3 linked regions of the Tamandua tetradactyla genome follow. The protein of the gene in region 1 purifies or fractionates together with the protein of each later gene. This does not show direct contact. Links are inferred from orthologs where the notes say so. Each region holds a gene or a part of one and is shown in the gene's direction. Other genes may lie near its edges.

What was found.
Region 2: the proteins of EEF2K (region 1) and BTRC purify together in Homo sapiens (affinity purification with western blotting; 4 studies listed by BioGRID and IntAct, with this or other methods). This does not show direct contact. The link is inferred for Tamandua tetradactyla from reciprocal best matches to the Homo sapiens genes EEF2K and BTRC.
Region 3: the proteins of EEF2K (region 1) and FBXW11 purify together in Homo sapiens (affinity purification with mass spectrometry; 7 studies listed by BioGRID and IntAct, with this or other methods). This does not show direct contact. The link is inferred for Tamandua tetradactyla from reciprocal best matches to the Homo sapiens genes EEF2K and FBXW11.

Annotation. Positions count from the first base shown.
Region 1 is NC_135349.1:35,058,847-35,069,420, reverse strand, and holds the start of EEF2K (eukaryotic elongation factor 2 kinase), read left to right. Parts: upstream 1-5,358; 5' UTR 5,359-5,646; intron 5,647-10,574. UniProt on the Homo sapiens protein: Threonine kinase that regulates protein synthesis by controlling the rate of peptide chain elongation.
Region 2 is NC_135339.1:62,879,354-62,889,626, forward strand, and holds the start of BTRC (F-box/WD repeat-containing protein 1A), read left to right. Parts: upstream 1-5,989; 5' UTR 5,990-6,096; coding exon 6,097-6,144; intron 6,145-6,423; exon of another isoform or gene 6,424-6,554; intron 6,555-7,238; exon of another isoform or gene 7,239-8,396; coding exon of another isoform or gene 8,397-8,406; intron 8,407-10,273. UniProt on the Homo sapiens protein: Substrate recognition component of a SCF (SKP1-CUL1-F-box protein) E3 ubiquitin-protein ligase complex which mediates the ubiquitination and subsequent proteasomal degradation of target proteins. Recognizes and binds to phosphorylated target proteins.
Region 3 is NC_135346.1:53,351,083-53,361,558, reverse strand, and holds the start of FBXW11 (F-box/WD repeat-containing protein 11), read left to right. Parts: upstream 1-5,717; 5' UTR 5,718-6,135; coding exon 6,136-6,180; intron 6,181-10,476.

The DNA of each region.
Region 1 (10,574 bases):
CTGCTCTAAATTACTGGAGACTAAAAGAAAGATCAATATGATGATTCAGCAATCATTTGTTATACCGTACTTTCTGTGTATAACCCCACCATCACCTTTGATCTTTCTCCGACTCTTTAGGTGTATTTAGTCTATGCCCTACCCCCCACCCCACCCCATTTCTTTTTAATATATACCTAGGGATGGAGCTCTGACAAACTGATTTCCACAGCGGCTGCACCATTTTACATTCCTGCCAGCAATGCACGAGGGTTCCAGTTTCTCCACATCTTCATCAACACTTATTTTCCTCTTTTAAAATTATTATTATAGCCATCTTAGTGGCTGTGAAGTGGTACCTTATTTTGGTTTGGATTTGCATTTCTTAATGGTTAATGATCTTAAGCATCTTTTCACGTACTTATTGGCCATTTGTATATCTTTGGAGAAATTTCTGTTCAAGTCCTTGACCTATTTTTTAACCAGATTGTTTATCTTTTTGCTGTTCAGTTGTAAGAGTTCTTTATATAGTCCAGATATAAGTCCCTTATCAGATAGTTGATTTGCAAATATTTTCTCCCTGTTCTTTGAATTTTTGCTTCACTTTCTCAGTCGTAACTTCTGCATCCTGTGGGTTAGTGAGTCCCATGAATTACTCTGGTGGAGAGAAAGGGAAGGGAAAAAAAATCCCTTTGAGCAATGGAGAGGAGTTTTTATAGCAGAGGGATTTTGCTGCTGGGAGCCTGAGGAGGGGAACTTCACCCACTTGCGAGGGGCCGCCTCGGGACAGCCCAGCAAGGTTTGGAACTGGACTGAGCCTGTGAAGGGTTCCCTAGAAGGGTTCAACTATTTTTGCTCTTGGAAACAGTCATGTTGAGGTACAGTTTAATTTTATTCCCTTTCATATTTAATTTTTGTTTGTTACCCTGAACTCCCCAATAATGTCAGAATAGCCTTGTGTGAAGGTGAGGGAGGTGAGTGAGAAACAAGCAATAACAAAGCATGCCCCGCCCCACTTCTCTCTGCTGAAGTCACTGGGGATATTTGTCTCCCTCGAGTTCCTGGCAGGGATCCCTACCCCTCCTTTGGGACTCACCTTAAAGGCCACTACCTTGGAGAAGCCCTCCTGGACCTCCAGACCAGGTGGGTTTGCCTTTATAATCTCTCATTGCCACTTCTCACTCACACATGCCTCACAGTTTATCGTGCTAATGGCGCAATGACTGTTTGAGTGACTTCTGTTTTCCATTTTCTCACCCTTTGCACAGCTCCCTGAGGGCAGGATTTATCTCCAACTCCCAGTACCACACTTCACACACAACAGAAAATTGATAAATATCTGCCCTGTGAGCTGTGGGGCTTGACTCCCTGGGGTGAGTCTGGTCCCAGCACTGTGGGATTGACAATGCCTTCTGGATCAAGGGGAGGAAATGAGGTGTAATAAAATAAGGCATCAGTGGCCAGGAGAGATCAAGCGGTATGGAGAGGCTATTCAGGAAGGGACTCTTATGCAAGCTTCAGTTAGATAGTACTGATTGTCATGGTTTGCTAAACTCCAACCAGTATCACTCCTGTTCACTCTTGAGAATACCTAGAGCTTGAACCGAGACTCTCTAAAAGTTTCATGCACTAGGTTTGCTTTCCTGGAATCCATAATTCCCAGAAGGTTCCTAGGTCAGATAAATCCTGAAACCCAGAGGGACCAGCTTCTCCAAGATTATTAATTAATTACATCCCCCTATCCTTTAGTGTTGGCAGCCCTTCTCAACATGAAAAAGTCAGAAAGGGCATTGCCCAAAGATCCCTATAGATTGGGAAAAGGGTCAAAGAAGAAGGAGGAGATATAACAGAGAGGACAGGATTTGGCAAACAAGTACGGCTGTTGAACCACTAAAATAATAATCCTTCTGGCTTCAAGTGTTTAGGAGCAGCTAGAAGGAAAAGTGTGAGATGGTGGAATAGTAGCCAATGACAAACTCTGGGATCTGTTCTGTAACTACTTGTTGAAGCATGTTTTGAAAATTATTGCTTTTTTCTTTCTTTACTTTGTATATATGTTATACTTTATGGTTAAAACATTAAAAAAAAATTAGGAGAAGGGTCAAAGGAGAAAGAGGAGTTATAACAGAAGAGATAGGATTTAACAAATGAGTATGTCTGTTGAATCATTATAGGGATATTTCTTCATCTCCAGTGTCTTGGAGCAGCTAGAAGGAAAAACCTGAAATTGTGGAACTGTATCTCATACCAAACTCTGAAATCTGTTCTATAATTACTGTTACAATGTACTTTGAAATGTATTGTCATTTTTGTAAATGTGTTATCTTTCCCAATAAAAAATGTTAAAAAAATATTTGCCATATGAATAAATGCCCAGAAACTCAAGGCTTGCATCTGACTGCTCAACAACTCCCTGGAAAGAAAAATTCTCTTCCTTGTCTTACTATTCTAGGACACTGCAAGCAAATGCCATGAAATGGGATGGCTTAAACAAAGGGTATTTATCATCTTACCAGTTTTGAGGCAGTGGAAATGTCCTAATCAAGGCATCATCTAGGCGATGCTTTCTTCCCAGAGACTGGCTGCTGGCAACCCCGCTGTCTGCCACCAGCATCTGCTGGTCTCTACTTCGGCTTCTGGGTTTCACTGATTTTGGCTTCTTGGTTCTGTAGCTTTCTCTCTCTTTCTCTGTATTCATTCTGTTTGTAAAAGGCCCCATAACAAGATCAGGCCCTATCCTGAATGAGATGGTGAATTAGCTTCATCAAAAGCTTCTACTTACAGTGGATCCACACCCACAGGAATGGGTTAAGAAAATGTTTTTCTGGGGCACACACAGTTCCAAACCATCGCACTTGTGGTTACAATAGAAGTCCCAGATTAGAATCTCATTGGCCTAGCTTGGATCACTTTCTCATCCCTGAACCAATCAATGGGACTAAAGGGATGGCACGTGGCAATTAGCCAGCTCTGATCATGTGTCCACTCCCGTAGCCAGAGCTGAGGGGAAGGATTTGAATCTCAGGAATTGAGAATAGAATGGATTGGTTCCCGGAGGCAAATCAAGATGTTCACGGAAGGAGAGGTGAATGCTGCTTGCAAGACACATTTACAGAGGCTTAGAGAAGTTAGGTAATTTGCCTGAGGCCACGGAGCTCTGAGTTATGGAGTCTTTATTTGAGTTTCATTGGGCTTAAACAGATCAGCTTGGTGTCTTTGACTTTCCTTCTGGCTCAGCTTCTCCAGGGCCAGAATTTCAGCTGCAATTCTGGGTTTTACCAAAACAAGACGAGTCTTCTCAAAATGACCAAAAGAACAAACCCTCCAAACCAAAATTGCATTTCTAGATTTTGTATTTTCCCAAAACTTGTAGGGCAGAGGTCAAAGTGTGAGACACTCAGTGGTGACTTTCAGGCCCATTTCTTCCTCATCCTCTCTTCCCACCTTATGAAAATCCCCTGTATGTCACCCTGCTGCCACACCCAAGCATCATAAACTTGAATCTGCTCCTAGCAGAGAGCATAGCATAGAAGCTGATAAACCTGAAGGCCTGCTCTCCCACAAGGGAATCTGAATTTTCAGGGGCCTCAAATACTGAGGAATAGAGGCTTAGACTAGATACTCCAGAGCCAAGATAGACACAGTTTTGGGTTCAAATGTGGCTCTGCCACTTACTAGCTGTGAAATCTTGGGAAAGTCATGTAACCTGCCACAATTTCACTATATAAGAACTGGGGACAATAATAGGGTTGTGATGAGAATTAAAAGAAATAATGCCTGTAAAGCCATTACCAGAGTGCTTGCCACAAAGCGAATGTCCTCTAAATATCAGCACTTATCATGAGGTCCCCAAATGGCACATTCAAGCAGGCATTACAAATGACAGGGTGGCTCTCGGCCACAGAAGCACGTTCACAACCTGTATTGAGGAGGAGAGTGATGCACAGGACAGCATGGGGTCTACATATAACGAAGAGTTGGCTGTCTCTGTTCCTGGTCTCCCTGCACCCTGCAGTCTCTGAGCTTGCCTGGGGCTCCCCTGGACAAAGAACTCAGCACTCTCTCCAGGGCCATGGAAGGATTCATTCACCCACACAAAGGAGCTTCATCGAGGGGCACAGGGAGGGGGTTTATTTTGCACAGTCCAAATTATTTACATACCCCCACTAGACACTACTGGAAGTCCTTTTCTCCCTTCCTCCTCCCACAGTGCCTAGCAGTTAGTTGCTACTTTGCTCCCCTGACCCCCACCCCATCCTGCAATTTCCTTTCCCCTTTTACTTCACGGAGCAACTCAGCTTCACCCTGGCAGATACACTCCGATGAGCAGACCCCAAACACTCAGATTCTCTGCAAAATAGAAACTGTTTGCCAAGAGCAGGCATTTGAGAAGACTTGGGGGTTGTGGTGATGGAGGTTATACATAACTAAACATACAAATGTGTGTTCCTCGGAAAACTTTGAAAACAGACAAATCTGGATTGAGTTCTGTTCTGTCCTTCCTAGCTGCATCACTGCGGGAAAGCCAGTGTCTTTATAAGCCTGGGTTTTATGATCTGTAAAGCAGAGCCAAAGAGACCTATCTCATAAGGTCGGTGTGAAGAGGGGATGAGATAGTTCAATAAATGTCACAATTATTATTTTTATTCCTAGAAAAGTGTCTAGAAAGATATATCAAAATACTGACAGTAGTTAACACTAGTTTTATTTCCCTTTCTTCTTTTTACCTCTCCATATTTATTCATTCATCCATTCGTTCATTCCACTGGTATTTATCAAGCTCTTACTATGTGCCAGGCCCTGTACTAAGCATTAGGAATACAGCAATTTACAAAGCAGGTAAGGAACGTCTGGAGGGAATATTAATCAAATAGTGACACAACTAATAGCAAATATCACAAATGCCTAGGTCATTCATTACAAAGCAGTACGCAGAAAAAGCAAAGCTATTTCGTTTTAAAATGTTTTAAGTTTACGTACAGAAACATTCCAACAAGCAACGGGATGGTTTTATTAGTAATTGTGTAAAGGATTCGAATGAATACAGGAAAAAGGCGACCGGAAGGCTGGGGGTGGGGGTGGGGAGGGGTGTCCGCCACCCCGTCTGGAATTAACCATTTGGGAGGGCGCCCACCTGGCCACCGCGGGCCAGGTCCACCCCACGCATTAGCTCTGCATTCAGCGCGCCGGGGGTGCCGGCAGCGGACTCGGCTCCTATTATCGTGCTGGGCGACCCGGAGAGCGCCGGAGCAGCCAGCAGAGAGCGGCGGCTGCAACAACCCGGACCGCCGCCGGGGGCACCCACGTGAGTGCCGCGCCGTGCGCCCGCCGGCCGCAGCCCCGCCCCGCCCGCTGCTCCGGCTCCAGCCCCAGCCCCAGTCCCAGTCCCCGCCGCCGCTCGCCTCCTGCCGGGATCCGACGCTGGCGCTCCGGTCGCTGCTGCCACTCCAGCCTCGCTCGTCGTCGCCAGCTCTCCGGCCCCTGGCACGCGTCCCCCGCGCGCCGGGATCGACCCATCAGCCCCGCGCGCCCAGCTCGCCGCTCCCCGGCACCCTCGGGGGGCCCGCCCTCCCTGCACCCTGGAGCACCGGGCCGCGAGCATCTGCCAGCTCCTCTGGATTCTCGCGGCCGTGAGCAGCGGCTGCCGCGCCTGCACGCCCGAGGGAGGTAAGGTGCTGGCCGGGCTGGCTGCGGGGCGGGGATCAGGCGCCGCGGGCCTCCGCGCTCGGTGAGGCCGGCGCCGCGAGAGCCGTGGGTCTGGCACTTGGGAGTGAGCCCAAGGCCGCGCCAAAGGGGAGCGTAGGAATGGGGGGTGGGGGGGTGGGTGGGCAGTGGAGAGCTTCTCCTCCGGTTGTTAAACTCTCCAGGGCTCAGTGTTTCGCTTCTGTAAAATGGGGAGCCGTGCAGGCTAACGGCAGCCTGGGTGGCCACGCGATAGCGGCTTTCTGGCTGCGAGAGACAACTCCGGGGTCCCGCCCCGGGCTCCTCCCGGGCCAGCGGAGGGGGGCGCAGCGTGCCTTCCTGGCGTCTGCGAAATCTGGAGCCGCAGACCCCACCCGGTCCCTGAACCCGAGGCCTGCGTCAGCCCGAATTCCTGGAGCCTCGAGGACCCTCTAGACGCGCCCTTGCTGCGGTATTGGCAGGCGCCGCGGACATGTGCGCCAAAGGGCCGGACGTTAACACTCGAGTGGCGGCACCGGAGCGGGGGCCGCCCGGGTACGCCCAGGTCTAGACCCGCCTGCGCGAGCGCGGGGTTTGGTGGGGAACCACCCCAGCTGCGACGCGAGTGTGACAGAGAACTGCGTGGCAGCGAGGGGGAGACGAGATGTGCCCTGTGCGGACGCTCTCTGGAAGGCCAACTTCTGGGTCCTTGGTCCTGGGTGCCTGGTCCAGGAGAATAGGACCGAGATACCCACCGGCGAGAAACAACTTGAAGCTTGGGTTTGAATTCTGGCTGTATTACTTACCTGCACGGCGACCTTGGGCAAGTTGCTTAACCTCTCTGATCTTCATTTTCCTCATCTGTAAAATGGGTGCGCTATTACCATCTATCACCCAGTGTCCCTGTAAGGATTAGAGCGACTTAATGTGTGCTGGTGCTTAGAGCAGTGCCTGGCTCACAGCGAGTGTGTTGGGGCTCGTGGTCATTCCGAGACCTCTGGACAGGCTGTAGAGCTGCAGAGAAGTGAGCAGTAACATAGGCCCACCCTCTGATTTTAGAGGAGGAAACCAAGGCCCAGAGTGGTCCCTAGACCTTCAGAAACTCCCTAGGTGGGAGCCAGCCATGTAAACAGCAGACTCTAATAAGCAAGATGGACTAACTGGCAAAAGACAGAGCAAGCAGATGGGAGCTGATATTGCCCACTGTATGTGTGTGTGTGTGTATGCGTAGGTACTAGGGAAGGCTTCCTGGAGGAGGTGATATATAAGCTGAGTTGAGAAGGATGCTGGTGGAAGGAGGTAGGCTTTGGAGAAGGACGTATGCATTGTCTTCCTTTTCTGTGGCCCCCACAGCACCTGACATTCATTCATTTGTTCATTTGTCAATTCAACAAATACAGTCAAGTCTCTGGATGACATGAATTCAGGTGTAAAATGGTTGGGATTAGTGTGCAACTGCTAGGCCCCTCTTCTCTGGGGTGGATGGGAGTGAAGTCTTAAGTTCTTTCCTTCTACCTGGGATGAGGGGTGAGGCAGGAAGTGAGGGCCTGATATCACTGGAGATCTGTTTTTGTAACAGTTGTGCACTTCTGCTTCACCATTTTTTATTTTGTAGCTTTTTGTGACAGAGCCGTGGTTTTTTTGGCTGACTAAGGATCTATCACTGATTTGATTTTGAAGCAGTTTTTTTTTTTTTTTCCTACATGGGCAGGCACGGGAGGTGAGAATTCTGCCTGCTGAGCTACCATCGCACCGCTCTTGAGGCAATTTTAATGTGGTATGTGGCAGAGACAGCTGGGGGACACCAATGTCCATGTTCTTCTCTCTGTCTGGCCTATGGGCCCCCCTTAATTTTCTCAATTTGATGGGAACCACATGCCTGAATTTTGGCCACTAAATGCGAGCCGAGGTGGTGTGCTTCTCCTAACAAGCTTGGACCCTAAAAACCTCCCACTCTGTCCCCACTTGGCAGCCCAAGGGAGAACACTGTAAGACCTAGAGGCGGGCGGAGCTCCCTTTGGCGTCCCACACTGGAATGGGATGTGAGCAAGAAATTACCTCTAGTGGTTCAAGCCAGTGAAATTTGTTGTGGCCGTTTGTTATGGCAGTGAGTCTCTACCCTGACTAATATAATGCTTACCTTTCACTAATATATAGTGCCTATAAAATTTGCTATAGTGCCTAACCATGATAGATTATCTTGCAAGAGGAAGGCTTTCCCTGCCTGGAAAAAGTGAAAAATGAAATGCGCTAGATCATTTCAAGAATGGAAAATAGTAAACTCACCTGGCCAGAGACTACCCTAAGACTACCCTAAAAAGGACTGGGTGATTTCCTAAACCTTTGCATGGAACCTGTTCTTCCCCTCTGAAAGTTTTTAGGTTCTTCTCCTTGTTCTAAAAATTTAGGATAATGTGGTTCTCAGTGTGGTCTGTTCCTTTGTATTGTGCTGGGAACTTGGGCCCTTTCTTTCTGGAAACACATGTCCTTCAATTCTGAGAAATAGTCTGCCTTTTTTTTTTTTAATTTCCTCCCCTTTATTTCCTCTGTTCTCACTTTCCTAATATTCTATTTTAGATCCCTAGACTGGCTCTCTGATGTTCTCATTCTTTATCTCTTAGCTTCTGTTCTCTTTGCCTTAGATGATTTCCTTGACTTTATCTTCAACTTTCCGTTAAAGTTTTCATTTTTGTAAAAATATAACTAATTTCCAAGTACTCTTGTCTTGTTTGAAAAAGAAATAGCATCTAGTTCTTACTTTGTGGAGGAAATATTTTCTCACTCTAAGGATATTAATGTATGGTTGTTTTTTGCTTGTTTGTTTTTAAGTATTCTTCTTGCACAGCCTCAGTTTGCTTCCCTTGCTTTCTTTTGTGGGTTTGTTTTTGGTCTGTCTTTCATATGAGATACTTTTTCAGATATCTGATGATACCTGGCTGTATGCCCCAGAGATTGAGCCTGCAGTGGGCTCCGTGGAAAGTCTGTGGGGGTGGGAAAGACCTGCAAGCTGGGGTCTTTCCTTTGGGGTGATCTGGCCATGCTGTTTCACCGGGGAAGGGTGTCTGTTGGATTTTTATCTTGCGCTGGTCAGATTTCCCCAAAGCATTGCTCAGTCTTTGGTTGGCAGGGTGGTGTCTGGTTGCCAGGATGCTGGAGGCAGTGAGGAAGAAAGCTGAGGCTCAATAGCAGAAATTTGGATTCAGCTCTTTACCAGTGGGTTACTTAAGCTCACTCTCTAGGATTCACTGTTTCTAGTCCAGTTCTTAAAGCTGAAGCAGGAAAGTTTGAGGACCAGGTCAACACTGGGAAGTTTACATTCAAAGTAATAGCAGCTGACTGGACTGGTTTTTAAAAAATGATTGTATGCTGGAGATAAGTAGATTCTGCTGTCAGAGAAACTGCAGACTGTTACCCTAATGAACTGAAAATGTGACTGGAAGAAGGTGGGTATTCTGATGACCATGTCTGAGCTTGGGATGAAAGCATCTTGAGTTCTAAAGTGTTGCTGGAACAAGTGTTTGCAGCCAAGGATAATGGACATAAAACAAAAAGCCTTCAAACAGAGGAAAGAGTGAGTCACTAACACACTGATGATAAGGCAGAAGATGACAATTTCCTGGTCCCCACCAAAAGTCCCAGAGCTATAAAACTTCCAGAGAAACATTTCAAATGGTTAGAGAGTGAGAGGGTGGACAGTGTTGAGCTGTGATGCTTTCCAGCAAGTCCTAGCAAGGGCTCCGCTGGGAGGGGCTGAAAAGCAGGTGGCCAAACTGCAGAAAATTTCTTTAGGCTGGTGGTTCTCAAACTTCAGTGTAGGTCAGAATCCCTTGGAAGGCTTGTTTAAACACAGATTGCTGATCTGCCTCCCAAGTCCCCACCCCCACCCCCTGATTCTAATTCAGTGGGTCTGGATTGGAACCTGAGAGCTAGCCTTTCTAACAGGTTCCCTGCTGATGATCTTGCTGGTCCAGGGAAGACACTTTGAGAACCTCTGGTTTAGGAACCAATGATGGTAAAAGCCCTGGATCAGCCTGCACAGGCTTCAAACCCAACTCCCCTAATTTCTAGCTGTGTGATGCTGGGCAAGTCACTTAACCTCTGTTATGCAGTTTCTTCATCTAGGATGAAGCTAATAGTGCCCATCTTTTCGAGTTCAGGGGAGGCTTCCTGGAGGAGGTGGCATCTTAAGCTAAAACCCGAAAGGTGAGCAGAAGAGAGCAGAGGAGTTGGCCAGTGAACAGGCAGGAGGGGCAGATAGGGAGTGTGCCAGCTGGAGGGGAAGCTAGTGTCTTCCAAGAAGCTGAGAAGAGTTTAGGTAACAAGTGCTTCACAAGCGACACTGATAGGTTCTGAATCTGGCCTGTCTCAGGGCATGGAAAATGAGCTGCTGGGATGGGCCTGAAGGTGTCCACATCTCATTGGCCCAAAGGCAGTCCCCTGGGTCCATCTAGATGCAAGTCTAGATGTAGGTAATGCTGAGAAAAATGCAGTCCTTGGCTGGGCAAGTAGCGCAGTCCTGTGGAGAGCTAGCTAGGTCTGCCATGATGGCCTTTTCTGGCCCCTGGCCACCTCTCTTACTTCTTCTTCACCTCGCTTAGTCTGCTCTACTCTGTTGGATGAGTGCATTTTACAGTTGAGGAAGCTGAGATTCAGGGACTAAGTAATTTGTCCAGGATCCACTCAGCTAGTCCTGGCAGAGTCTTGGTGCTTTTCAGGCCCTCCGCCAGCCAGGCTTTCCCACGCAGGGTCTCAGCAGTGCTGTGGGGCTAACTCTTGGGATGAACCCCTGGCCACCCTCCCCTCCCCCACACAGCGAGTGTCCATGGTATCAGCAAAAATTGCCAACGTTTCTCCAGTTACCCATTCATTCAGGCAGCACGTGTTGTGGAGAACCTAGTGTGTGCCAGACATTGTGCTCTGGACTGGGGTTTCCA
Region 2 (10,273 bases), on another chromosome or scaffold:
AGCACTCTTCAACAAGTGGTTACAGACCCTCTCATATTTTTCCTTCTAGCTGCTCCAGAATATAGGAGGCTAAAGGGCTTAAATACTTTTTTATCATCACAATCGACTTTTTTTCCTCCTTTTTGTTTTTTTGTGAAAACTAACATATATACAAAAAAGCTATAAATTTCAAAGCACAGCACCACCATTAGTTGTTGCACATATTTCAGACTTTGACATGGGTTACATCAATTTTCTTTTTTTTAATTAATTTATTTTTTATTTATGATACATAACCACATACAAACACAAACATTCTTATCACATGATCATTCCATTCTTCTTATATAATCAATAACTCACACTATCATCACATAGTTGTATATTCATCATCATGATAATTTCTTAGAACATCTGCATCAATTCAGAAAAAGCAATAAAAAGAAACAGAAAAAAATTCATACATACCAAACCCCTTACCCCTCCCCTTCACCGATCACCAGCATTTCAATCTACTAAATTTATTTTAACATTTGTTCTCCCTATTATTTATTTATTTTTAATCCATATGTTTTGCTTGTCCGTGGATAAGGTAGACAAAAGGAGCATCAGACACAAGGCTTTCACAACCACACACAGCCATATCATCATACAATTATCTTCAAGAAACATGGCCACCGGAGCACAGCTCCACATTTTCAAGCAGTTCCCTCCAGCCTCTCCATGACACCTTAACTAAACAGGTGATACCTATTTAATGCGTAAGACTAACCTCCAGGATAACCTGTTGACTCTGTTTGGAATCTCTCAGCCATTGACACTTTGTCTCATTTCACTCTTCCCCCTTTTGGTCGAGAAGATTTTCTCAATCCCTTGATGCTGAGTTCTAGCTCATTCTAGGATTTCTGTACCATGTTGCCAGGAAGGTCCACACCCCTGGGAGTCATGTCCCACATAGAGAGGGGAGGGCAGTGAGTTTCTTGCTATTGGCCGAGAGAGAGAGGTCACATCTGAGCAACAGAAGAGGTTCTCTTGGGGGTGACTCTTAGGCCTAATTTTAAGGAGCCTATTCTTTGCGGGATTAAGTTTCATATGAACAAACCCCAAGATTGGAGGTTCGGCCTATTGCTTTGGCTGTCTCCACTGCCTGTGAGAATATCAAGAATTTTCCACTTGGGGAAGTTAAATTTTCCCCCTTTCTCACTATTCCCCCAAGGGGACTTTGCAATGACTTCCCTATTCACTGTTCAAATCGCTCTGGGATTTATTTGGGCATCACTCTGGACAAACCTACAAAATCTCATGCTCTATGCAAGGTTCCAAGTACTATGGTGTTCGATTAAGCTGTCCACATAAGTTATATTAGGAAATGCACTAGTCAAAATATAAATTTTGTACCAAGTAAACATTTTTTGCTTGTCTCACACATATGGTCAAGTTTTAAAATATTAATTACTATCTATTTTCAACACCCTGCATTATTGACATTAGAGGAGTGAGTCTTAATGAGGACAGGGAAATGAAGAGAAGTATGTGTGTGTGTATGTGTGTGTGTATGTGTGTGGCACTCTTTCTTTAGGGCCCAGCTAAAAGTGTATCTCTCTATCTGACTGAAATGTAAATAACCTTTCCCACTTCCTCTGGACCTCTTGACCCTAGGATTAAGTCTATCAGATATTCAAATAGTTGATGGTGTTTTTTACTGTTTGTTTTAAAATTAGATAATGACTTTGCTTCCAGTCAATCTTGGGCAGCCCTTGGCAATCCTTAGAAAATGTAGTTTTTTAGAGAGGGGAGGGAAAGGTAATTCTAGAATTTCCTAGAATTTGGAAAGCAAGTTAGGCTTGGAAGGGGACTCTAGATAGCAGAGGTCAGCAAGAAGGCACTGGACACCTAAACGCCAAGGCAGTGGTCTCAAACTTGACTGCAGATTAGAACCACCTGCGGGTCTTTTAAAACAACCATCACCCAGGACCACCCACAGATCTTATTCAATCAGAATAGCTGAGTGGTAGCAGAGGTGTGTGACTGTGGGTAGAGTTTGGGCATCAACATTGTTTATAAAGCTCCTCAAGTGACTCTACTGTGCAGTTAGGGTTGAGAATCCTACCAGATTTAGGAGAGGGGATGCTAAGGGAAGAGGAAAAAGCACAGGCATGTGTGGAATATTTCTGGCTTTGGCCTATTTGTTAATCACCAAACGCATACTGGGGGGTGAGGTTTAGAAGAGCAGATTCAAGTGCTTAAAGAAAGGCAAGATCATTATGAGTTGAGGGTTACCTAGAGAAGCGATAATTTGCAGACTGGCAACAAAAAAAGTTAGATAATTCCAATGGTGACAGAGAAGTGACATCCTCCCACACTGCTCATGGAATTGGAGAATGTTATGGCCTTTCTGTACTGTGATTTGGCACCACATAGTCAAATTAGGTATCCTTAGGCTACAAACCAGTAATTATGGTTGTGGGTATAAATTCCCAAAGATACTCTTACTCATGGGACATGTAGGCAGTGGGTCACTACAGTGCTATTTGGGGCAACTGGATTCTGGAGGCTTTGCTGGAGAGTGGATAGGTAAAACTTGGGAGATGTCATCATCAGAATATTAGCAGTTAGAAGCAACAAGTTAGATGTACACATGGAAACACGAAAGGTTTTTTTCTTTTTACTGGGGAAAGGCTTTATTATATTACTTAAGATTTAAATTTAAGATTGGTTTTTATCATGTCTAACTGAACATATGGAACATATGGTGTCCGTAGTTACAATTAGAGGCGGTTTGGATGACATCATTATAAAAAGCTCAGTGTTTTTTTATTTCCAGAATTTTTCTGCCCCTAAAGATTCATGGGAAGATGATCAATATCTTAAGAAGAGAAGAAGCATTCTACCTGCACAAGCATGCCTTGAAGATATTGCCAGTTTGGTTTGTAGACCACTGCAATAAAGCGAATATTGCAATAAAGCAAGTCACATGAATTTTTGGTATTCTAGTGTATATAAAAGTTATGTTTATAAACTGTACTGTAGTCTATAAGTGTGTGGTAGCATTTTGTCTAAAATATCAATGTTTATACCTTAATTAAAAAAAAACTGTAAAAACAAACGAACAAACACATTTATTGTTAAAAATGCTAAACTTGGGGGCAGGGGGTGCAAGGGTAGTTCAGTGGTAGAATTCTCGCCTGCCATGCGGGGGACCAGGGTTTAATTCCCAGCCCATGCACTTCCCGAAAAGCAAACAAACAAGCAAAGAAAGAAAGAAACAAATACCCAACAAATGATGCTGCAATAACTGGATACCCATATGGAAAAAGAATGAAAGGTGATGCCTGCCACACAGCATAACAAAAACAAAACAAAATAAAAAACAAACAAACAAAAAAACCCAGGAAAAATGCTAACCACGATCTGAACCTTTAGTGAATTATAATCCTTTTGCTGGTAGAGAGTCTTGCCTCAATTAATGGCTTCTGACTGATCAGGTTGGTGGTGGTTGAAGATTGGTGTGGCTGTGCCAATTTCTTAAAATAGGACAACAATGAAGTTTGCTACATCAATTGACTCTTCCTTTTACCTTAACTCTTAGAGCACATTGTAGGGTTATTATTTGGTCTAATTTCAATATTGTTGTGTCTCAGGGAATAGGAAGACCATGTTGTTTACCAAGCTAGACTTTCATTAAAATCACAATGGGGTCATCAGGTCTAATGCTTTAGTTCTGGCTGTCGTAGTGAACAGATCTTTCCTGGTGGTGGCTGGTCAGGACATGGAAGTCCGTGCTCCGCCAGGAAAGAGTTTTTGAAAACCATAGGTACAGGGTGCAAAATGTATGAAACAATGAGATACATATAAAACAAAATTACATCTGTGAATTAAAAATATAGCATACAAAGCATCTATTTTGCAAGAACCATATAAACAAACAAAAAGGAAACATTGCCTATGGGGGAGGAAAAAGGGGTAGAACTGAAAGAGATATCTGATATCTATAACTGGTTGAATACGGAAGCTAAAGGACAAGGGTGGGTCAAATAGTACTCTCAGCTCTTAAGCTAGGAGAATGGGAGCAAGGAATCTAGGAGAAGCGATTTTTCATGTTAGAAGTCCAGTTTTCCAGTAAAGTGGAGCTTTAAAAAGGTTCTAATGATTCAGTATTTTCTGTGAGCAACTGTGCCAAAAGCAAGCTCATAGATGCATACTGTTTTCAGTTGGCAGAGAACTTTGTTTTCTAGATGACAAAAGAGAGGGCCAAAGTGGTTTGGTTAATTACCCAAAGTCTACCAATTAACTGATGAAAGTGGGGGCTAGAATCAAGTCTCTCAACTTCCAGTCCAATGATCTTTCCTAAAACCTGAGTTTTCCTTAAAAATTAAGACAGTTCATATTTGGATTTCTGTTTGCCTGACCATGACTGGTTCATTTTAAAGAAGGAGGATTTACTTTTTCTGTGGACTGCCTCTGCCAACTGACTTTCTGCTTAGATTCCCAGCTGGTTGGGCTTTTAAACAAAAACTCTTTGAATTTGCTTTACTAATCCTCATCTGTACCTGCTTGGACAAAGTGAGGATTGTCACTGACCGCCAGCTTCATCAGGCAATGTTTTCATACTCTCGTACAGATAATAAAGTAAAAAAAAGTGACTGTTCAACTTCAGAGGTGTTTTAGTTTTCTAGGCTGCTCAAGGCAAATACCATGGGTTGAGTTAAAAAAAAAATAGGAATTTATTTGCTCACAGTTGAGGCTGGGAAAATGTCCAAATCAAGGTTTCATCAAGGAGATACTTTCTTCTCCAAGATTGACTGCTAGCAATCCTTGGCTCCTCTGCCACTTGGCAAGGCACATGGCGGTGTCTGCTTATTGCTGTCTTCTCTCTTTCCCTGTTTTCAGGTTCTTGCTTCTGTGGTTTTCGCTTTGTCTTGCTTGTGTTTATAAGGGATTCTAATAAGCTTAAGACCAATCCTGAATGAGGTGTGTCACACCTTAACTGAAGAAGCCTCATCAAAAGGCTGTTTACAATGGGTTCACATCACAGGAATGGATTAACTTAAAGAACATATTTTTCTGGAGTACATACAGCTCCAAACCACTACAAAAGTTTTTTTCTTTTTTTTTTTTAAGTGGAGAGTTTAATTCATTTACAAGTAATATTGAAAATGTAGGACTTGAGCTATTTTGCTATTTGGCTTTTGTAAGTCTTATACCTCTTTTGTCCTTCAATTTTTCCATTAGTTGCCTACTTTTGTATTTAGTTGATCTTTTGTAGTGACCCATTTAGAATCCCTTCTCATTTCCTTCTGTGCATACTTCTTAGATATTTTCTTTGTGGTTTCAATGGGGCTTAAATTTGACTTACCTGAGCTCTAAACACCAGAGAATTTTCTCATTTGAGTTCTGCCTGGCCCTGTCTTGTTGTGAGAGAGACTAGGTTCCTCGGAGAGGTGTGGAGTGACAGTTTGGGTAGACTTTTAAATTTAGTAGTGGGTTGGAGGTGCTGCCAGGTGCCCATAGAGCCAGCAATTCTGGGTCTCAATCCCTCCTGCAGAAGTGAGATATATGAAATTTGGGTTTGACCAGCTCTCCACATTGAAAGTTAGAGAGGTCCTAGCACCCCCGAGTCTTGTAACATTTTTTCCCAGTATGTGGGTTACTGGTGAGGCTCTTTCTGGCCACCATCTTGATGGCAAATGCTAAGCAAGCCGCCACCGGCGTCGCACGTTAACCACGGAGATAATCTGTGCATCCTCCCGTTTTCTATCCTAGAGGCTGTGAACTACAATTCCCATCAGCCGTTTTTCCCTAGTTGACCACGAGTTGTCTAAACTTTGCTTATCGACAAAGGCAAACCTGCGGCAATGAACAGCGGGAGTCGGGACTCTTGGTTGCCTCACTTACTGCAGCGGGAAGCTCCAGAACTACAAATCCCTTGAGCCACAGGGTTTACGCATGCGCACAGCACAAGCGGGGGGGGTCCCTGACCCCCCCCACGCCGGTGCCTAAGAGGTAAGAGAGGGCGGGGGAAGGAAGAGGAGGCGGGATCCGGGCGCTGCGTTGGCTGAGGCCTGGCACTAAGGGGGCGGCCCCGGTTGAGAGCAGACCCAGCGGCCCCGGGAGATTATGGACCCGGCCGAGGCGGTGCTGCAGGAGAAAGCGCTCAAGTTTATGGTGAGGAGGAGGGGCCGGCCGGGGAACAGTGGAAGCGGTGGCGTTGGTGGCGTCGCTAGGAGTCGGGCCTGGGCCGCCCGCCGTCCGGGGGAAGGGACCCGGGCACTCCGAGCCTAGGCCGGCAGCCGAAGCGGCTGGAGGGCCGGGACCGGAGCTCCGGGGAGGCGGGAGGGGGTTGCGGAGCAGACCCGGGGGTGGGGGCAGCAGCTCCGCCATCTTGTGGATGAGAGGCCGAGTGACAGCGGGGAGCTTAATCGGGGAGGGGGCTCCGGGCCGCGCGCGGGGCCCTGGAGGGAAAGGGGCGTGGGGACAGTTACTGAAGAGCGGAGAAAGCTCGGAGGATAGACTCTGCGTGGCCGCTGGCAGGGCCTTCCCGGTGTCAGGGTCACGGATAAGGCCCAGGAAAGAAGGTACATTCCAGCGTGGGGAAGCGGAGCGCGGGTGGGTGGGAGGACAGATATTGAGGGTAGGTGGAAAATGGGCAGACCTAGATGAAGATGGATCTAAGGGTGGAGGAGGGAAACCAGGGCTGTTGGGAGGCGTGTAGAATTGTAGAATGAAGTGGGAGATAGCATTTGCCCTGAGGCTAAATCTTATCTTAAGCCAAACTAGTGTTGACAAACTCTGGAAAGGAGGAGGCCTTATTTAGGAAGATAAGGATGGAGATGGTGACCTAGGGCGATGATAACAGCCCTTGGGAAAGGAGGGTGGTGTTGACTGTGGGCCAAATTACAAATGACAGGAAAAGGGGTATATACTCAGAAAGGAAAGGCTGTATATATAATATTATATATATTAGGAATAAGGTGATGAAAAGCAAGAGGCTGATTTGTCAGGGAAATATGGGTATAGGAGATTGGGGGAAAATTAAGATCTAATAAGGTAAAACAAAACTTAGAGCTAAATTGTGGAGGTAGTGAACTGTAGGGGTGGGGACCTGTACGATGTTCTGGGAAAGGAAAGGGCATGTAGATTAGAATTGCAAAGACTCCTAAGAAGCAATGAGAAGAGTGGAGAAATTCAGAAAATGAAAGTGGGGTTGTAGGTAGTAGAGAATGGGAGGTAAATCAGGATGGGGGGTTGGTTACCCATCAGTTTTAGGTTGAAGCACAATGTTTGCATGGATTGGATTTTGTGGGTGTGCTGGAAACTCTTGCTTTAGAGCCGATTTCTTTAACTTTGTATCATGCTTTTCTTTTTCTATGCTTATGTTTGGGAAATTTGTGTAGTCTGATATTTGATGCTTTTAATCTGATACTTCTTGTATATCCTAAGTGTAAAGCCAGACTTGATGGTTTCAGCTAGAGTGAGGGGATACATAGATTTCTAGTTTAGCAGGTGGCTTTAGGGACATGGGTGTCATTTGCAGTCAAGTCTTACTTTTTCAAAAGTAATTGTAACCTGCACTCCAAACCTTATTCCTTTGTTAGATAGTTTCTATTTTGTACCCTTGCTGGAAATAGTATAACAACTTCAAATCTAAATAAACATGTATCACTAACCTGGATTGAATTTAGGCTTTAAACTGCCCCATTTACAAAAATGTTGTTCAAGAGACTGGTCCAGTTTACAAAGTCTTTGTGTTAGGTCTTTCAGAAACACCTGATTAAAGTTTGACTATCAAAAACAAGAATACATTAAGCTTGAAGAAGGTTCTTGAATTTCTGCCCAATGTTGAAGAGAAACTTGAAATTTTTTTGGACTTTAGTAGAGGAAATTGCTTGATTTCGTTACCCAGCTTCTAGATTTATTTTCAGTTAGAAAAGTGGCAGATGCTTACTTTTGTTTCCCTGCTTAGAGGGTTGACTCTTAATCTTCATCCTGACACTGTGTCACATTTATGGAATAATGTGATTTATAGATCATAAAGAGACATTATGAGATCATTTTCTTAACTTCCCATTAGACCTCAGCCTATGAACATTCTCAACTGCTTGATTTCTGTTTTGTACCAGTGAGACATGTTTCCATAATGGGCTCGTGATTGAATTATATTGGACCTGGAAATGGCCATGTCGTAGTTCACAGCTTTTGGGGTACCATACATTATTAAATGTTGAGTCAGTTTCCATAGGGAGAAATCAGTTTTTCTTTAATTTGACTTTCATTTTTTATCTTACTTGTCACTGTGGCTGTTGTTTGAGAAAAGGCCAACTTGAAGAGGGTAACCAAAAATGACACCTTAATAACTGAAGCAGACCTCGGAGAACCAGAGATACGGTCTTCTCTTTCAGCTCAGTAACGCTCTAATTATGAATCTGAGTAAGTCCATTTGGTCCCATCCACCCTGCTATAACATGCTTGTTTATTCAGAATGAATTTTGAGATAGGAAGATAATTTATTTGCGCTTGCCCCAAGCAATTAGTATACAGTACATATGGAAAGGTTAGCCTTTTAATCAAATTGGAATTTTTGTGTAGTATTTGACTTTGTTCTGGCTGCTATCCTTTCCCTCAATTGTGAATTACTGATCATAACTTTTGTACAAATGCCTTGATTTCTCTAGTTTAGAAAGATGTAAAATTTGTTTAAAATGTCAATAGGAAATGAATACTCTCTTTGACGAATTTTAGTCATGACCACATTAATGTAGTGCTTTGTTTAGGAATTTTACAATAAAATCTTATTATGAGACTACTAATCCATAGTGGGCTGTTTAAGTCACATATGATCTAGACTTAAAGCTTATCCTTATCTACTTGTGAAAAATACTTTAAGCAGGGGTGCATGGGTAGCTTAGTGGTTAGAATGCCCACCTTTCATGTGGGAGACCCGGGTTCAAGTCCCGGACCATGCACCACCCCCTAAAAAAAAAAAGCTTTAAGCAGAATATTAGGGTCTAAAAACAAATAAATCATATTAAAGCAGTAGTTTACATTAAATGACCCATATGCTAATCTACTCTCATTCAGCTTTAGCAGGTCCTCAAGGACCTTTTCTAATATATCTGTGGTCAGTAAAAACATGATACCTCAAGAAAGATAAGTGGGAACTTGAAGAAGACCCAAGAAGAGAAACTAAAATGATTGTGAGGATGAGGCACACATATATAAAAGGTGTAGGATGGGTAGATAAGCCAAGGAATGAATTTTATTTGAAGTTTATTTGAAAAAGTGGACAGTATACATATATTCTTGTCCAACTATTCCTAGAATTTTAGAACGGGGGAAACACTTGAAACTTGATAAAATAATTTTAAGACATATAAAATACAATATTTTAAAAATAGAATTGGTAGATAACTGAAACAGTATAAAAGCTTAACTATTGTTGCATAGCAAACTACCCCCAAATTTAGTAAAAAAAAAAAACCCTCTTTATTGTTTCCTTCGATTCTGTGATTGACTGGTAGTTTTTCTGGACTTTACTTGGTATTGGCTGGGGTGCTAGTATGGCTGGAATGTCCAAAATGGCCATACTTACCTAGCAGGCCACTGGCTGGTAAGGCTACTCACCAGGGCTAATGGCCTCTCACCATGTGGCTGCTTGAATGGTAGCTAGATTCAAGAAAGAGAGTTCTAGGAGACAGAAAGAATCTGCCAGTTTTCTTAAATCCTTGATTTGGAAGTCCCAGAAGGACAAAATTTGTCAGAATTTGTCAAAGCCAATCAAGGCCAGTCCAGAGTTAGAGAAGCTTGTTGACGTGAAGTGTGGCATCTATAAACAGAGATGAGGGAATTGTGGGGACTCTCTTTTGAGACTGACAACCATATATATTAATGTAATTGGCTGTTCTTGATTGTATTTGTATGTTTCCATACAAATGGGATTAGCCAGGTCTGTAGGTACTAACTCTAGGAATGTGTGGTAGGTGTCTCATTTTTGAGCTTAATTTCTAAAAGAACTAATGTGATCTCATGATGTTATGTCACTGTAGAACTATATTGAGGTGAATAAGTATGATTTAGAGACTTTTCTTATTTGCTTAAGAAGCATATATATTTTAAAGCAGTAAATTGCATTTAAAAATAAATACATTTTTCATTGTCATAGACTTTTCTTTAAATCAGTTAGATTGAGTACCAGTTCATTGGATGCACATTTGAAACTAGTTCTTAGTTCTGTGTATCCCTTACCTCTTCCCAATTTAAATTAGTTTACAAACTATTTATATTCTTTTATTTTTTT
Region 3 (10,476 bases), on another chromosome or scaffold:
AAGGAGACCGATGGCCTTTTACCAAGGTAACTCTGCACTGGGAAAAGGAAATGATCAGATATTTCAGGGATTATTAGACGGTGGTTCAGAAGTGACATTAATTCCAGGGGACCCAAAACATCACTTTGGTCCACCAGTCAGAGTGAGGGGTTATGGAAGTCAGGTGGTATTTTAGCTCAGGCCCATCTTACAGTGGCTCCAGAGGTGGAGCCACTGTAAGATTTGGACCCATTCTGTAGTTATTTCCCCAGTTCCAGAATGCATAATTGGAATAGACATACTGAGCAACTGGCAGAATCCCCACATTGGCTCTCTAACTTGTGCAGTCAGGTGGGAAAGGCCAAGTGGAAGCCATTAGAACTGTCCCTACCTAGCAAAATAGTAAATCAGAAGCAATACCAGATTCCTGGAGGGATTGCAGAGATTGCTGCCACTCTTAAGGACTTGAAGGATGCAGGGGTGGTGATTCCCACCACATCACCATTCAACTCTTCTATTTGGCCTGTGCAGAAAACAGATGGGTCTTGGAGGATGACAGTGGACTATTGTAAGCTCAACCAGGTAGTAACTCCAATTGCAGCTTGAGCAAATAAAAACATCCCCTGGTACCTGGTATACAGCTATTGATCTGGCAAACTTTTTTCTCAATATTGAGAAAGGTTTTTTCTCAATAGCTGTTAGTAAGGGCCACCAGAAACAGTTTGCTTTCAGCTGGTAAGTTCAACAATATACTTTCACGGTCCTACCTCAGGGGTATATAAACTCTCCCGCCCTACGTCATAATCTTGTCCGCAGCACCTTGATCATTTCTCCCTCCCACAAGACATCACACTGGTCCATTATATTGATGATATCATGTTGATTGGACCTAGTGAGCAGAAGTAGCAACTATTCTAGACTCACTGGTAAGGCATTTGCATGCCAGAGGATGGGAAATAAATCCAGTAAAAATACAGGGGCCTTCCACCTCAGCGTCCACTGTATGGTGCTGTTTCTCCCTTAGCCAGGATCCATGGGTCCAGGAATCAAGGGGTGGAAATGGAAGTGGCACCACTCACTATTACTCCTAGTGATCCACTAAGAAAATGTTTGCTTCCTGTCCCTGCAACCTTGAGCTCTGCTGGTCTACAGGTTTTAGTTCCAAGTGGGGAAGTGCTCCTACCAAGAGAAACAACATTGATTCCATTGAACTGGAATCTAAGACTGTCACCTGGTCACTGGGCTACTCATGCCCCTGGATCAACAAGCCAAGAAGGGGATTACACTACTGGTTGGGGTGACTGACCCTGACTATCGGGGGAAATAGGACTGCAACTACACAATGGAGATAAAGAAGAGTTTTCCTGGAATATAGGAGATCCCCTAGAGCATCTTCTAGAACTACCATGCCCTGTGATTAAAATTAATGGAAAATGGAAACAACCCAATCCAGGCAGGACTACCAATGGCTCTGAAAGTTCAGGAATGAAGGTTTAAGTCACCCCACCAGACAAAGAATCATGGCCAGCTGAAGAGCTTGATGAGGGTAATGGAAACATGAAATGGGTAGTGGAAGAAGGTAGTGATAAATATGAACTATGACTACATGATCAGTTACAGAAAAGAGGACTGTAATGCTGTTTTGTTCATGTTATAGTATTTAAGTTGTAAGACATCAAATTTAAGGATGAATATTACCCAAGGACTTGAATCCTATTCTGGGGAGATTTGATGTTTCCAGTTATACACAGGACAGTTGAGTATTGTTAGGTAAGGAAAACAAGTGTCTTTTATTGTTTTCTGTTTAGAAATTAAGTATGGTTTAAGGTGATGTATATAGCTGCCAAGTTGAAAAGGAGTGGACTGTCATGGTCAGGTTTATGTGTCAATTTGGCCAGGTGGTGGTACTTGTCTGTCTGGTTGGGCAAGCACTGGTCTGTCTGTTGCTATGAGGACATTTCATATAATTAATTCATGAACACATCGGCTGCACCCATTTGTAATCAGCCAAAGGAAGTGTCTTCTGCAATGAATGATGTTTGATAGAATCACTGAAAGCCTTTTAAGGAGGAATCAGAAGAGACAGGCTGTCTTCTTGCTTTGGCTGGTGAGCCTCTTCGGTGGAGTTCATCCAGACCCTTCATTGGAGTCGTCAGCTTCACAGACTGCTATATGGATTTTGGACTCTACATTCCCACAGTTACATGAGACACTTTTATAAATTTTATATCTATGGACATTTGCTGCTGATTCTGTTTCTCTAGAGAATCACAGCTAATATACATGCCATACCTCTTACCTGTCCCTCTCATTGACCACTAGTATTTCAATCTACTCAATTCACCAAAATATAAATTTTGCACCAAATAAACATCTTTCCCTTTGGTCTCACACAGAAGTTGAAGTTTTAAAATATGGACAGTATCATCCTTTAACCCTGTATTCTGATTTACCTCAGTGCTGTCCAAGTCAGCGTCAAATCTCTACTTGAAGTCAGAGTCCTTTTTCAACTTTTTAAACAGTTTCTGTATGGGATACTGCTGACTTTCATAGCTTCAGAGCTCTAATTCTGAGTCTCAGGTGCCATAAATACCTGGTTTCTGGGAACCATCAGGTTATAAATATTGTTGAGTTCAGTATCTCAGAATTTAGAAATAACATTTACAACTCGTGAAAATATGTGACTGGTGTAAGAGCTTACAATCTAGGACACTTTACAATAGGCTCCAACCTGATAACCCATGCTCTTGACAGCAGTTCACCAAGTTTTGGTATCATAGTCAGTCAGTACGAGTGAGGTATGATAATATTTGTCTTTCTCTTTCTGAATTTCACTCATCATACAGTTTCCAGCATTTATTCACCTAGTTGCACGCCTTTCAACCTCATTTCTTCTTGAGGCCATTCAGTACTTCGCTGTATGTATATGCCCTGGTTTCCCCTTTCATTCCTTAGTCATTGTACCCTTAGGTGCCTCCATCCATTGTGGATTGTGAGCACTGCCACCATATACACCAGTGTGCAAATGTCCACCTGTGTCCCCATTCTCAGTTCCTCCAGTATATACTGAGCAATGGGATTTTAGGATCATATAGCAACCCCACCCCTAGCCTCCAATGGAACTACCACACTGCCCTCCAAGGGGCTGTAACTCTCAGTTTTCCTACCAACAGTGAATAGGTACATGTCTTTCTCCGCATTTTCTCTAGCATTTATTTCTCTCTGTTCATTTTTATTCACACATCATACAATCCAGTCTAAGTGTATAGACATGCCTCGTAAGGTACCATATGATTTTAATAAAAGGTCAGAAATCTTTGGTTATATCCACTGCAGTTCCGATGCCAGGGTTTGCAAACTCAAGATACGTAAATTAGCCAAGTATGCTGATAGAAGACCACAGGGAGTGGTGGTGACTGTGGAATACTACAGAGTACATGTTTCATATAAAGAAGGTAATTTTTACCTAGGCCCTGCAAGATTGTTGCCATGCAGATTCAAGAGTGAGATTATAAGTTTTCACGAGAGGATAGAAATTTAGATTTTTAAAAAGTATGAGATTGTCGAACTTTAAAATAATAAAAAAGCTTTTTAGGATAAATAAACATATGAGAGGATTGCATTCGGCTTGTGACTCCTGCCATATGCCTTGTGTCCTAGGTTCTGTGGCAGGAGCTAGGTCCTCAGAGGTCTTAGTTGGTAGTTACACTGGTGGCCTCCAAAGAACCATGCTTTTTTGTATTCACACACTGAATTAGTCCTTTCCCACATGGCTTTGGGCCTGGCCATATGACTTGCTTTGGCAAATGGGGCATTAAAAAGTATGGTACAAGCAATGGATTGATAAGCATCTGCTCATTAGGGCTTGCTTTCCTGGAAGTAAGACATCACGCAGTAAAGAAGCTTGGGCAAGATAATGAACATTAAGAAGTCATGTGGAAAAGAGAGACCCTAGAAGATGAGTAGCCATTCTGAATGAGCTCCTAGCTGAATGCAATGTAACAGCATGAGTAACCTTAGCTTCCACCATGCAGAACACAAGCATTGTCTGGCTGAGCCCAGTCAACCCACCCTGTTGTGGAAAATAATAAACCATTGTTATTTTAAACCACCAAGTCTTGGGGTGGTTTGTTATGTGGCAAAAGGTAACTGAAACAGAAATCATTAGTTTTAATCCCCTTGTTTTACTAATGAATATCCAAGACCCTGAAAGGGAAAGGGAACGGGTAAAGTTCATACAGCAATTTAATGGCAATAACTTTCCAACCCTGTGTTCTTTCTTCCTACTGCTTTTCTTTTAGCGGTTGGGGAAAAGCACCAGAAAAGAACTGTGAAACTTCAAACCCTAGCCGCAGGGAATTTAAGTTGTGTCCTGCCTGCATGCACACAAATTACTGTAATAACTTGGCCCTTGGAAAGGGAGAAATTCTTAGGTCATCCAGGCCCCTCATCTTACAGCTGTAGAGAATGCAAAAACACTGGAAAAGGAGAAAAGCAGCCTCTGATACTTGGAAGCTGGCCTAGTATAATTAGCAGGCTATAATGTTACTAGATGATAGCCTGGCAGTCCCAGCTAGGTCCTGTGCTCTGTTGAGCCTAAACAATTTCACAGAACATCAGCATCAGACAAGGCAATTCTGTGATTGTGTTAGATCAAGACAGAAACAAGACCACTCCATAATCATGCCTGAATATAGGTAAAACAAGAACATTATCCAAACCACAAAAATGACTACACAGCTTCCATCTTGGCTAATATGAGGGTGGGCGGTTTCTTCACCAATTACAGCTTTGGCCTCCGTCCAGTCTTCCCTCCTTCCAGCTTAGATTTATTGAGATGCACAGTCACAGAATTAACCCCATTTCTTGATAGCATCTAATTCTGAGTAAAGCCCCAGTTTCCTTAAACCTCCCCCCAAATCACCTAACACAACTCTTCCTGAGAAGCCCTGCGTTTTCCCAACTGTGTGCAGGCTCCTTCGCTGTGACTAATAAACCCAACTTGCTTAACTACGATTGAGTTCCTGATGGCCTTTGGCTGGAGAACACCAACACACCTGACAAAGTTCACGCAGACTTGGTGGCAGAGTTCACTGGAAGGAGTCTCCAGGTTTTCAGCTATGTTCCTTTCTTCAGCATCATTCTTTTGGTTCCTGTGTCTGGCCCCCAGCCCCGTGCCCGCCCCCCCTTCCCACCCCCACCCCCCGTGACATTAAGCTCCATGAAAACAGGATGCCATGTTCATGAGCTGATTCCTAGTGCCTAGGGTGGGGCCGGCAGAAATTGGTTGCTTAAAAAAATATTTTCTGAATGAATGAATGAAAAGAGGTGCTCAATATATATCTCCCAGCTCCTTTCAGTTCGTGTTGTATACGGATGGCACCACAGCACATCTCATAAATCTCCTTGTACTGAAAGAAATCTCCAAATCCCTCACTTCTCGGAGGACTATGCTCTCAGAGCTTCCTTCCTCGTCTAAGCTTCTCTCGCACACCAAGCCCTCCCATAACTAACCCCCGAGGCCAGCATCCCTCCTTAACGCGTCTTAGAATCATTCTGTCTTCAGCATCTGCCCCTACCACCGCCCACACCCGCGGCTCTACCCAGGCGTCCAGCGGGCACTGCGGCCACCGACCGCGCATGTGCGGAAATCGGCCGCTCACGCAGTTTCTCTGACAAGTGAGGAGTTGCCCCGGAGTTTCCGTCCCGCTCTGGGCAGCCTTGGGCTCCCAGGAAATCAGGAGAAAGTAACCGGAAGGAGCGCCCCTGCGCAGGGCTTTCTGGGATATGTAGTTGGTGCGCTCTCGAGGCTCTACGCTGAGTTCAGTTCTTCAGTTCTGCAAGTCTCGCTTCAAAGTCCCGCTCTACGTTCAGCCCGGAATTCACCTTCATGCTACCAGGAGAGTTTTGGCCAGGTGCCGGCTTCCCGTTCCCACAACGCTCCGCGGGGACCGCGGCGCCTGCTGGGAACTGTAGTCCCCCCTCTGCGTACTGCGTTCGCGGAGGGGGAGGGCGGAGCTGCCGGCGGCCCGGGCGGGCTGGCAGCTAGAGTGGGTGAGATAGCCGCCTCCGCCTGTGCCGCCTCCGCCGTCGCCTCCTCCGCCGGAGCCGTTCGCTGCTGCGCGGGGAGAGCGAGGCGGGGCTGCCGGGGCCGCCATGGAGCCCGACTCGGTGATTGAGGACAAGACCATCGAGCTCATGGTGAGTGCGGCCCGCTGGACGGTCCGTTTTTCCTCCGTCCGGCCCCGGAACGGGTCTGCCCCCTTCAACGTCCGGCGCGAGGCCGGCCTTGGTCCATTCTCGCCGCCTGGGCCCTGACTTGGGCCCCCAGCCTTCCCTGGCCTAGGGCTCTACGCAGCTCCTCGGAATCCCTTGAGATCTGAGGCCGGCCCTGGCCCGGCCCCTTCCATGCCCCTCAGTTCTGCCCCCCCCCTCCCCGCCCCCTGTCCCATCTGCTGGACGACCCTTGCTCGCTTTTGCTCTTTCCTTAGCTCTACGTTCGCTCTAGCATCTCGTTCTCTTCTGGAAGTGGGATTTTTTTTTCGGTCCCTCTATTTCTCCGGCCCAGGCCCGCACCTCGCTTGAAAGCCCCACTCAGGCCGAGTGAGTTGTGGTGGGGAGGGGGTACGGAGGAGATGGGTCAAGGACCTCGGCCTCTGCGTTCTAGGAGGGGATTCTCGGCACCTTCTCCCCAGTCTGGGGCTGTGTGGATGCCAGGATAGGCCCTGCAGGGCTGGGGGGTGGGGAGTTGTCTGATTTGAGGCTGTGTCGGATAGGCGGCCTCTTTCCCGGGCTCCTGTGGTGTCCGGCTTCTTGGACAAAGGGTTTCCTACCCGGCCGAGAGAGATGTATGCATGGCCAGGCCCCAGGTACTCAGGATTCTATCCCCCGGGAAAGGAAAACCATAACTTAACGTTTTCCGGAGCTGCTTTGTGAAATTGGGGTGGAGGGATCCGACCTTATCACTACCGCCAGTTCTTTCTTCTCAAAAAAAAAAAAAAAAAAGAATCCTTGGTCCCTGGGGAAGTGATCACTCTTCTGTTATAAACCTTTGGCAGCCAGACCGGACTCCCTGGCCCATGGGCACCACCAAACCTTTTTCTGCCTTAGAAGGGGATTTTAGGAGCAGAACCTTTAGAGAGTGGTTAGTAGAGGTGAGGCATTTGCTAATTGGAGGATGACTTGGTAGAAGAAGTAAAACATGGCAGGTATTAACCTGCCAATCTGAGCGTTAGGGAAATCAAACTGGGCTTTGAAGAGCTGGGGGCAGGAAGTCTTTGCTTCAGCAAACGGACATACCCAGGATTTCTTCCTGTGGAAACCTTTACAGTTTCTTTGTATCTCTTCTAACACAGTAACAACTATCCCAGGGTTGGGAGGAAAGTGAAAGAATCTACTTAACCCAACAAAATATTTTCCTAGCCAGCTTTTCTCCAGTGTGAAAATGTTTATTGAGTCAGTGATTCCACTGGGTAGGGTCGGTGACATCAGAGCCACTTCCCCCATTTAATGCTATAAATAATAAATGGTGACACTGAAAGTCTGTTGGATAGCTGCATGGTTTCTGTTGATGATGATCTGGGGAGTTGAGATGCCCGTTTTAAAAATGGAAGTACAATAGCATAAATACAGAGGCAGCTTAATATTTGCTGTTCTTTGCATAATTCACAGAACTGGACTTCCCCAGTATTCTTGAAAACTAGAAAAAAATAAACCCTAGTAGTTTCGATTTTTAATGTGTTTGGTTGTTTTCGGAGAAATACTGTCACTTGTGAGTTTTTATTTTATTTTCATTTGTGAGTTTTTGCTTTATTTTCATTTACTGAGTAATTTTTCCTTTTCAGAATAATTTATTCGACTGTTGTAGTCAAGTCTTTGCTATTCTGCAACTTTTGTAGTGGATTATTTTGGTGAAATATCGTAATTGGGATTACATATACGCTATATATTCTCAAGGATATAGTTATATAATGTACATCCTTACAATAGGAGGAATAAGTTATATTGAAAAATCGTATCTTTGATACTTCTTTGAAGTTGGCTATTCTGAACTCATTGTATTTCCATTTACTAAAAAATAAGTATAATGTTATTATTTCCAAAAGAATTGAAAGAAATACAGTAAAATCCAATTCAATGTCTTTGAGTGTGTGGTAAAAAAATCTCAGGCCTAAATTTTCTAGCTTCCTGTACTCATAATTTAAAAAGTTTTGATATTCATCATAGTAGTTGTCTCTCATCTAAAAAGAGACTTCAGCCTTTAAAGGACATTATAAACTGGGAATTCTTAGAAAATGAAACAAAGAGCTTAGCAGCTATGATCAATTTTAAAATGGCTTCTCATATCAGTTAACACTCTTAAACAACCCTTCCCATAAACATACATATAGTTAACACAAGGTGTTTAACTACTGAGTAAGTCTGGGGATCAAACATAGGAATGATAGTGCTTTAAAATCTAATTGCATGTGGTTTTCTGTATTCACTGCATTTTAATTACAGTTTCCAGAACTAGTTAAAAATTATTTTTTTTATGCTAGATTCAGAAAAACATGATTGAAGGAGAGGAAGGGGTTAAAGTGATGGTAATTTTGAGGGCCTAAAGCATGAAATATTTTTGGATTTTATGAGTCATCTTCAATACTCGGATATTTGCGATTGTGCTCCCTATACCAGTTTGGTACTTTTAAAGGTTAACAAGGTAACTTCCATTTGATATTCAAGAGTATGCTATATTAAAAGGCACAAATAGATTTTTTTGACTGTCTCCATTTCTTAAATCTTCATCCCTCTGCTTCCTTTGATTTTTGTTCACATTTTTTTCTCGCACTTTTGATAAGTTTACTAGGAAGTAAAGTTGATGGATAGCAGAATAATTAAATCTCTAAAACATAACTGCTATTGTGACTACTACTCTTGCCTGACACCTGGGCCCGCAAAGGGTGCTTCTACTGACCTGCATAGGGTTCAGACTTAAGTAAAGGCCATTATCTCTTCATTGAGATGACTGAATGTGTAGTGATGATAATGAATAATTTAACTGCTAAATGACTTTCATGCTTACCTAGTTTGTAGGCCTGGTTGTTGTTTTTTTTTTTGCATCTTTGATAAAATCAACTTTATTATTGAGGTAGAAAAGTAGTAAACCATTTTAGAAATATATATAGTTGATCAGGCCACATCTAGTACTGTGGACTCACAAGAAAGAGTGAAAACTGTATATTACATACCATATAGTATTTATAAATTTTCGAGTTAGGCATATCAGTTGATGTTCAGGCACTGAACACTAGAAAGCACGCATAAGAGCTGTTGATTGGTAGGATAAAGATGGTTAATTTCTTTAGGAGATAGATGGGAAGTGATGTTAAAATCTTAAAAAATATAATCTTGCCCCTTTCTGGGTCTCCTCCCATTTTACACAATTAATGTGCAGTTTTTTTCTATTGTTAATCTGTTGAATGAGTCGCCTGTTTGCTGAGTGGCATTGAGTGAGTCATTTCCCTCTTGTCTTATCTCTGAGTGGCGTTATTTCTTGTTGAGTGAAGTAATATAGGTAAAATACATTGGGCCTCATTAAGAAGATGTGATAAAATGCTATTTTTAGAGCCATTGGAGTACAGGCAGGCAACAAGGCCAAAAAAACTAAATGAAGTAACTGGAAAATTTTCACTTCTTTTTCTTTTTGGATCTTTTTATCCCCCTTCCTTTCATTGACTTTCATTTAGCAGGGTAAGTGGGACTTTTTAGTGACTCCATCAAGAAATTGAATCTTTGTCACCACCACTTGTCCTCATCTACCTCTAATGATGTGCTAATTTACCAAATGTAAATTAAATAGAAGCTATTCTAATTACAGTCCAAATGAAATAAACCACCTACATATTTACAACCTTCAGTGACCTGTCTCATGAAGGCGTGGCTCAAATATATCAAATTTTATCCCGGATTTTGGGGTAGGTTAGATGTCCTTTCAGATTTGACAAATATAGACATGTTCGGCACTCAAATTTTGGCTCTCTTGTCCCCTGAGTGCTATTTTCTGTACCCTGGGAGAGCTAGCCCAGGAGAATCACCAGCCCATTATATAGGTTACAGAACAGCATACATATCTGAGATTGAGCCTGTGAATTATAGAAATGAACTTTCCTGTTCATTGAGTCCCCTGGATTCCTAGGTTGCACCTTGTGATCTTCCAAGCATTTCAAGTTCTAATTAATACACATTAGTTTTTCCTCCTGCCTTCCTCACTTACTCTGTATTCTAGCCAGAGCCAGGAGGGCCATGGTTTTCCACATTCTCCTCAAAGAATGTGGACCTGCTTGATCAGGTCCTAACCACCCTCAAAACACAATTCAGATGCCACTTCTTTTGATGTCTTTCTGTATTATGGTGACAGATGTCATCTTGTTTTTACAACTATAGGACTGTCTACATGATTATCATTGTTAATTGAATGAATTTTAGCCCTTTGTATTTATCTTATGACAGGTAACA